Schizosaccharomyces pombe: one gene and its partner. The protein of the gene in region 1 interacts with the protein of each later gene in a pairwise test. Each region holds a gene or a part of one and is shown on either strand. Other genes may lie near its edges.

Region 1 (4,495 bases):
TTTTAAGTTCAGCAAAGCCATAATTGAAAATTCTATTTAGAAAAATGGTGCTTATAATACTTCAAGCAGCCTTCATGCCAAAAAGCTCCTTGACTCCGTATGAGCATTTCAGCAGGTGCCAAAGTAGCGACGGAGTCATCGGCAGATAAACCACATAAATGACAAGTGTCCTTATTATCTCCTAAATTGTCTGGTAAAAACTTGACTTCAATCTCCTGAGTTCCCGAAATTTGCTGACGGGACAGGAAGCGCAGACGAGGAAACAATCGCGCCCATGCATTTACGACCTGTTGAGATTTCCAGTAATTAGGATTGCCTTTCCTTAAACAACCCGCAATACACCTTTGAGCAACCTGTCCTGCAGCGAACACCCCTTTGGTGTAAACCTGAGTTTTGGGGTTGCTTAACGCCGTTTGTTTTTCAGAGAATGATAAATTCGACAACTCTTCAAAAAATTCGCTCGGAAAGGCCAACTCATGTTCAACAAGTAAATCAAGTACCTCTGTCGCAGACACCTTTCTCAATGCCTGAGAACCAGGTATAGGCAAATCATCTTCCAAATCTAGTAATGCTATTGAGTCCAGGTTGATACGATTTTATTATTAATTTCTTTAAATCGTTTTTTTTAGAAAAATTCTTTAACAGAAAAGAGAAAAAGTACCTTCACTTAGTTTTTATACGTGAGTTCTTTTTTGGTTATAGTTTGAATCATGAAGGGTTGAAAAGTCCATCCTGGACAATTGAGGGAATACTTAGTTATGAACAAGTAAAGGCTTTGATGGGTTTTGTTAATGCCAAGCATGTTCGAAGGTTAAAGAATGAAAATGATCGGGTTGATGACCTAGAACATGACATCTCACCGATTCTATCGTACCCTTCGCTTTACTGTTGCAATAGCGATCAAGGTGAATTTTTACGTGAAACACAACAATACAAAAAATTGCAAAGAAAGATAGCAAGAATTAAAAATGTTCTCAAAAGGAACGAATTACAATATTCATTAGTACATTAGAAAACAAGCAAATAACACAATGATTTAACTTAAAGATGCAAAGACACGATTCAAATCGGCAATCAAGTCAGCAGCGTCTTCAATACCAATGGACAAGCGAACAAGTCTAGGATCAATCTTGGAATCCGTCATTCTTCGCCATTCAATCAAACTTTCCACACTACCCAACGAAGTAGCGTGATGGAAATATTTCAACTCGCAGCACAAATGCTTAGCAACTGTGTCAGATTTAAGTAGAACAGAAAAGCAAGATGCATGACCGCCAGTCAAATTTTTAGCGACAAATTCCTTGGTCTGCAAGGAGTTATGGTAAACCTCCAAAATCAGGCTACTATCAATTCCTAGGCTAGTAGCAAATTGCTCATCGGTAGCCAACTTGTTCAAATGTTGGGCAACCAAAAATCCGTTTTCACTGTGTTTTGCGATGCGAAGAGGAAAGGTACGAAGAGAGCGCAAGAGTAAGAATGCTTGCTGAGGATGTAAAATTGTGCCAAGATAAGCACGATCTGCTTTCAAATCAAGGATCTTGGATCTATCTTTCGAGGCTGTGACTCCAGCCAAAACATCGCTGTGGCCGGCTAGATATTTAGTCGCCGAGTGAACTACATAATCAGCACCTAAAACAAGTGCATCCTGGATAGGGGGTGGTGCAAAAGTAGAATCCACAACAAGTATGGCACCCTTCTTTTTTGCCAGTTCCTTGTAAAAAGGAATGTCAAAGGCAATACCTAAAGGATTCAAAGGAGTTTCCAACCATATAACATCACCTTCACCGATGGCATCGCATTTGCCATCAATAAATGAGGTTTCTAAACCGGTTAGACGATTGATGCGTGCAATAATTTGGATTGTGCCTGAATAACCACCGAAACCGGGTTTATGAACGGCGATGTGTTTGGGATTTAAATACGACAACAGTCCGTAAATAGCAGCCAAACCAGATGAGTAAACAACAGAAGGTGCACCAAGAACACTGCTCAACGAAGCTTCAGCTCGATCAACATTGTTGCCGCTGATACGGGCATAGTATGGAAAGTCTTCCTCCGCTAGTTTGGTGAAAGGCTGAAGAGTGTCAGGAGTACCGGGATAAGTATAAGTAGTAGAAATATGGATGGGAGGAGCCACATCATTTTCTAATGCATAAGCATCATCGGCATGCAGTACATTAGTACTTAATGTGGACTTGATGTCAGAGAGATCGAACGAAGGAGTGTGAGTCATGCTAAACTAAAGAAAAAAAAACAGAGATGAAATGCAGAAAGGTCACAACAAATGAATTTCGAGAAAACTAGTGTTTACACGTTTACGGAATTAATAATGTTTATATCTAATTGAATGCTCCTACACTAGTAATCACCAATCGACCAAAGAAATAAGTACGAGATCAAACGACAGATACCTAGTTATGATAATTCTTTTAAAGACTTATATCTCCGTTAACTAACGTAAAGAGTTTGGTTAAAGACAAGTTGTTGTGAGACATCGCGGGGCATGTGCCTTAATTTATATCGTTATGCTTACGTGCTTGTAAACACTATATTACGCATTTGAAGTAGAAAGCACACAAACAAATAGAACCAGGACACTGAATAATTAGAACGTTTGGTTAATGAATTTTTACATAAGCAGTTATTAGTTTTAAGTTTATAGGTTTAATGGAGTTTGCTATCCGATCTCAGATTCTAGGCGTTCGTACCGGACCCTAGAAAATATGCGACAGACTTAACAAGATGCGTTTCCCAATTAACAAGCGCTCTAGTTTTTATTAGGAATTCAAAGAATACTGCTCTTTTTGTACTGTGGTCAAACAAATGGTTTTGACAATCAAAGAGGCATATACAATAAGAATGATTTGAAATGCAGCTGCATGCCGACTGTCGCATATTTCGTGAGCAAGAACTCATTTTGTTTACGGAATGGCGTTTCCCATTGAGTTACAAATACTATAGCATTACTATCATCAGCAAACTTCTACGCCATTCAACGTTTTTATTTAAAGAGAACAACACGTAAATAAAAACCAATCGTATAAGATAAACATTAAAACATAAGAACTACTTTACAAAGACTTTTTCAAAATAAAATTGAGAAAAAGGGCGAAAAAATAATTTCTCGTATAGATACTTCGAGCTCGATGGGAACGAGCCTCAAAAAGCCTTGCTTTTAATCTCGCCTTTCTTTTTAATAAACAATGCATTTTCAAAATCTCACCGAAGAAACCAAAGAAACATAGAAAGAATAGGCCAGACAATTCGCTTGAAGAGAAGATAGACAACCACAAATATGAAGAACCCAAATCCCGAGACGACTAAAAAGTAATCACTTCGATCACTTAATTTGAGCGATTTGATTATCCGTTTACTTGTATATAAAACGTCCTCTACACCAAAATATTTCTCTTGTAGAGTTTCTAACAAGTTGGTACTCGAAGACAACTCCATTGCATTTTCGGCACTCATATCCACTGCCTGTACCATTTGTGCGTGAATATCACGCATAGCCGCCGTGACCTGACTGGCGCTTGTAAGATAAATATCATCAGATTGCCACGAACCAGAGTTATCCATTGAACGCTTTTGAAGAGAACCATCACTTGGTGAGGTAATTTCCTCTTCATCTACAATCTTACCTATTTCTTGTGCGATAGGCAACCATGGTTCACCACTAGCAATCTTATTCCGATATCTTCTGTTCAACCGAATGTATTCTTGTACAGCCTTTTCATATCGTAGAACTGAGTCTAGCTGAATGGATGAGTATTCAAGCTCTACCCTTGCAGTTTCCCATATTTTTCTAAACTCTCGAAAATGCCTTTTAATAACTTCAACGCTTTCTGACTGTTGTAATTCAACAACTTTTTCTTCTAGTGCATTCAGAACGTCGGCCATCGAATGCTATGTTCTCTGCTTTATTGAACAAGTTAAAGGAGAAATAGTATTATGAGATGCAAGAGGAAAGAACGATAAAGGTAAATGATGATGAGTGGGAAACGAATGATGGATGCACTAACAATATAGCACAGCTGAAGGTGAATATAAGACTATACATCGAAAGGTTCGGTATATAGAATAAGGAAAAGAAATCAAATGCGGAATTATAAATAACGAGAAATAAAGATGCTAAGAGAGAGAAAGAGACAATAAAGATAGAAGGCAATAAGGTGAAATAAATTAGAAAGTGTAAATGGTAAAGGGAATATTGTATCGATCTTTAATAAAAAGTCGAAAACCACAGAAATGTTACTATGCACGCAACTGTAGAATGAAGCAACCTTTCATTCTAGTTCAAACGACGCTAGACACAAGTCGGTGTCTTTTTTGTTCAAAAATATTATACATATTCTGGGGTGAAAAGAAAAAATTTGATAAACTTCCATTTGCTTTATGATTGTTCATTAGCCAAAGGATGTTCAACGATTTCACCAACTTTTGCCTTATAACCCACAGGCAACGCTTGCAGGAGTAAGCGTACATCTTCAATTTT
Region 2 (4,844 bases), on another chromosome or scaffold:
AAAATCATACTCCCAATTCACCAATGATTTTTCATAAATCTCTCGCTTCATGTCTTTCGCGGCAGAATTTGAAATTGTCAAAAACGTTCGATGTTCTAAATAAGCAAAATTTTTAATGGATTTGTCCAGTTCCTTAACCAAAAAGTTCAGAGAGCTTCTCCATGATCGAATGCGAAACCTCTGTTTTCTGTTTTTCTTCCCGTTGAATACTGTTATGACCGGCAAGGAAAGAAAGGTTTCTTCAACCATATGATTACTACCCGTAGGGAGTTTGTTAACTATGTCTTCTATTTCCAGCTTCTTACAATTTATCAATTGTTGTACGGCGAAAACGCGGCGTACGAGATCATTCCAAACAAGGCAAAAATCGCTATGTACCTCAAAGTACCACTCTGGTAAATTATCTTCACACAACGAACATAATTTTCCTGAAGGAGGAGGAACGTGTATATAATTGTATTTGATTATTCCGAGCAAATGATCATGAAGAATGAAGGCACCAATCCCTAACGTGTTAAACAGGATGAAATCCATTTCGTTGATCACGGACCGTTGTGGATATAAATATTTTCCTGCCCACAAAACCCTTGTATCTTTACCATACAATGAGTCTACTAGAATGCCTCGAAAAAGCATTCTAATATACGTCTTTCCCTCAAATGGAGCTTTGGCTTGTTGAATATAATAATTAGGACTGCGTATTGGATTACATCTGAGAAAAGCAAAGACATGTGCAACTGATATGCTTTTTCTGAAAAGATTATCGGTTGCTTTCTTCATTAAGTGTTCATCATCGCTTTGAAGATACTCATAGAAACTACATTGAAATAAATCTCCTTCGTAGCCGATTAATTCAAAAAATGCAGGATTGGCATATTCCACTATTCCATTTTTTGACATTTCAATTTTCAGCAGAACTTCGTGGGAAAGTATCCTCTTCAATTGCTCTGGATTAGTCATTGTTTATCATAATTGAACACTTTAAGCTTCTTGGTATAAAAGAAATTGTATTCAAAGTTGTGTAAAATCAATGCAAATGGTTCTTACGCGATAGTTTTTCGGCAAAGACTTTTAATAGTTTGTAAGACTCGTATAATTTAAATACCTTTTTTTACTTATGAAGCGGAATTGTTGTTGTATACAATGTTTTCGTTATTATAACATCATCAATTTATTACTTGGCTTTATTAAATTCGCCAACTAATATGCTAATTCATAATGAGATCACAATTTGAACGAGCGATTTTTAGCACTTTAATTAGCGACAGGTTCTTTAACAAATATTTGTCGGATGTGAACTGTAGGTGGCATCAATTGGTATTAAGCAGAAAACAACCAAAACCATTGTTACAGCGAATATTGACTAGCGAAAATTAATTAGTTTTTTAATACATTTTATTGTGAGCGACAGAAGTATTTGGTGATTTAATTCATTTGGCGTTGTAATTTAGACAACAGGTGAATAAATAGATGTAGAGTTAATACTTCAATCCAACCCTTGGTTTAACTTTCTAATCACACTAATTTGAAAAGAACTTAGAAATAATATGGATTTTTTTCTCTGTATCATAAAGCTATGGTTTTAACATATGCAGCATGGTTTACAAAAGTATAATAAAATGTTGAAATCTAAATTCCTTAGTGGCAATAGATTAGTCTGAAAAAATAAAGAGAAAGTCTTTATTATAAATTGATATGGGTTAATGTGGTGTATTACAGAAGCGATTAATCTAACGTGCTACGCTCAGCATCTACATGAACTGAGCGCACTCATCTAAATATTTTTGTAATTGGTAATAAGCAGCAATACATGCCTGAGTTTATACGCAAGTTTTGTAACAATCATTGGTGCGATCAATTTTTGTTTTTTGGTTAGTTGCATCGTTACTTCTTCCGCTTTTTTGTTTTCATATTTTTGGTTTTTAAAACACATCGCAAATTCAATCAAGTTGCGAAATTTTTCATTCTTTGATATTAATTTTCTTACAACCTACTTAAAAAACTATTTCCTTTTGGTCGAGAGCCTTTATATTGGCTATAGTCTACTTTCTTCAAAAATGTCTGTTGAAGCAGGATGTTCAACGCTATCTAATCCTCTTAAGAAATTGACTTCCACAGCTGTTGTCAATAATTCAACACCTTCAGCTCAATATCGAAAACATTTAACCAAGTCTCAAAGTCGTACTTACGCTCCTTTGCAAACGCTGTCTGAGGATCAATTCACATCTTTCAAAAATCTCCAAGGAAACAATAGTCCTTTAGGTAATGTAGTTAAGAACCCAGTTAGCTTAAAAACTGGAAATCATACCGGCACAACTACTCGTGGAGGCTCGAAAGAAAATTGGGTACATTCTTTTTCTTCTCTTCAGCAGCAGAATAGTAAGTCGGCTTGGACATCAGAATTCTCTGAAGTATTTCTCAATTCATCTGAAAACGACCGTTTTCGAAACTTAAACCAACCTTTAAAACAATCTTTTTTTGGTTCCGCTGGACTAAATTTATCTTCAAATACTGAAATACCCTTACAAAGTTCTTTAGCTATTGACGAAACTGAGTTGGCTAAGAAATTTGAGGAAGCTTCTCAAATCTCCAATAAATTAGAGAAGGAAAAGGATGCTACTGGAAGTAAATCAATTGAGGAGCTATGGGAAGAGCATCAAAAGCAATTGAAAAACGCCGGGCTAGAGCCCGCAAGTTTAGAGGAATACCAGAAACAATGGGAAGATTTTTTAAAGTCAAACAATATTTCTGACGATCCTTACACTTCGTCTGTGAATAGCTTTGCTAATGATAATTTAGCTCATAATAAAAACATAGATCCTCAAATTTTCCAGCATAGCGATACTGATAACGTTGTTGAAAACTCTTTACAAACGGAAGATGTATATTCACAGAACCAAGATGAATCTTCAGAGGTTGTGAAAGAGCTAAACGGAATAGATCCATTTGTTGAAGCCATGAATTTAATAAAAAATGGAGGATCTATCTCGAAAGCAGCTGTGTTATTGGAACAATCTGTGAAAGAGAATCCACAGCACTTCGAGGCCTGGAAATGGTTAGGTCGCATTCATACTCTATTGGGAAACGAATCGCGGGTTGTTGAAGCCCTACTTGAAGCTGTCAAATTGGATTCAACCAATCTTGACTTAATGATGGATCTTGCTGTGTCTTATGTTAATCAGTCTCTAAATGTTCAGGCATTGGTTTGCTTAGAAGACTGGATAGTCAACAGTTTTCCCCAATACCGAAACAGGTTTGCAAAGATAAACGAAAGGTTTGAAGAGAAAGATTCTGCTAACGATCTCTTGAAAATGCAGATGTATTTCTTGGATGTAGCTTATGAGTTATCACTTGCTAAGAAGCGTTCCTCCAAGGTACAAGCTGGATTAGGAATAATTATGTATATGTTGAAGGAGTATGAGCGTTCTGCAGATTGTTTTCGGCAAGCTCTTCAAGACGAACCAAGTAACGAAATATTGTGGAATAAGCTTGGTGCTGCTTTAACAAATGCAGAAAAAAATACTGAAGCTGTTTCTTCCTATAATCGGGCAGTATCTCTACAGCCCCAGTATGTTCGAGTTCGCTCAAACATGGCTGTTTCCAACATCAATTTAGGATACTTTGAAGATGCTGCAAAACATCTACTTGCTGCAATTGATATTATACAAAACAGTTCTACCTCAATGGAGAGCTGCGAATCAAATGAGGAACTTTGGGAAATGCTTCGCAAAGTATTTTTGATTGGATTCCAAAGTACTGATCTTGCCTCTCAGTCCTATCCTGGAGCAAACACTAGTTATATACGAGCCCAGTTAAGTGATCTCCAAGGTTGGCCCGGTGTTGAGCTCGAATAAATCTCTTAAAGCAAACGTGCTTAATTCATTTTTCATGTTATTATTTATTTGGTTGTTTTTTTTTTTAAATTTTTTGTCTGAGGCATATCTTTTAGAGGACGTGCAAAAGCTACTTTTTTTTTGTTGCACAAGAAATGAGATAACTTACGCTTCAATATCTGAAGCAGAGAACAAAAGTAAAAGAAATCTTACTCTATGCTACCAAAGTTACTATTGGTATGCAAGTTGTACCTTTCTTGACCGTTTATACAATGGAAATTAGATCTTCAGTGATTTGAAAACAGATGTTATTGTTTACTTTTGTGAGAGTGCTTCTAAGCTCTTTGTAAGCACAGTTTTTTAAGTAATCCAACATTGTATTTATTGACGATAATGAGACAATGTTTAGTATTAATTGTTCAATAGCATTCGCATAAAATTCGAAGTCTCACTTTTTTGTTTAATCATTTGCTTTTATAATCTCAGTTTATTTAGATATACTGATGCGTATAATAAAGTATTTGACAATTTTCTATATTTTGAATAATGAAACTTAGTGTACCAGCATAAAGTGCTGTATGGATATTTCTCTCTCGTAAGAACATTCTTCAACTAAGCAGGTTGAGTACCAATTTTGACCCAATTGAAATCATTAGTTTTTTAATAAATTAATCCCGATTGCTGGTATTTATAGAAGGGGAACAGTGTCAAAATATGAGTGAGGTCCATCAAGAAAGTGAAGTAGAGTACAGTCGTTGGAAAAGAGAACGCTCTCCTGGTAAGTTGTTAATGTTTAGTTTGATAGAAATACTCATCCTTTTTTTGCATAGAACGGAGTCAAAGACGTTCACAGAGCCCCCCTGGTGAACAGTCTGCGTATCATCGAGAACGGTCTCCTCTACGAAAGCGTGGTAATTACTATGATGATAGAACAAGAGGTAAGAATAAATATAAAATTCTATGAATTGACCTATTAACTACAATACGTCTAGCTTCTGGACCTTACCCTAC

What was found.
Region 2: the proteins of SPOM_SPAC23A1.14C (region 1) and pex5 interact in a two-hybrid assay, tested with the Schizosaccharomyces pombe proteins (2 studies listed by BioGRID).

What each region holds. Positions count from the first base shown.
Region 1 is NC_003424.3:4,100,723-4,105,217, forward strand, and holds SPOM_SPAC23A1.14C (cystathionine gamma-synthase-like protein), read right to left. Parts: upstream 2,487-4,495; 5' UTR 2,234-2,486; coding exon 1,037-2,233; 3' UTR 554-1,036; downstream 1-553. Other genes in the region: SNARE protein Sec20, read right to left, coding at 3,220-3,900; RNA polymerase II CTD phosphatase Rtr1, read right to left, coding at 4,394-4,495.
Region 2 is NC_003423.3:1,214,962-1,219,805, forward strand, and holds pex5 (peroxisomal targeting signal receptor Pex5), read left to right. Parts: upstream 1-1,755; 5' UTR 1,756-2,057; coding exon 2,058-3,854; 3' UTR 3,855-4,283; downstream 4,284-4,844. Other genes in the region: serine/threonine protein kinase Ppk31, read right to left, coding at 1-960; pir2 (C2H2-type zinc finger domain-containing protein), read left to right, coding at 4,548-4,611, 4,664-4,771, 4,826-4,844.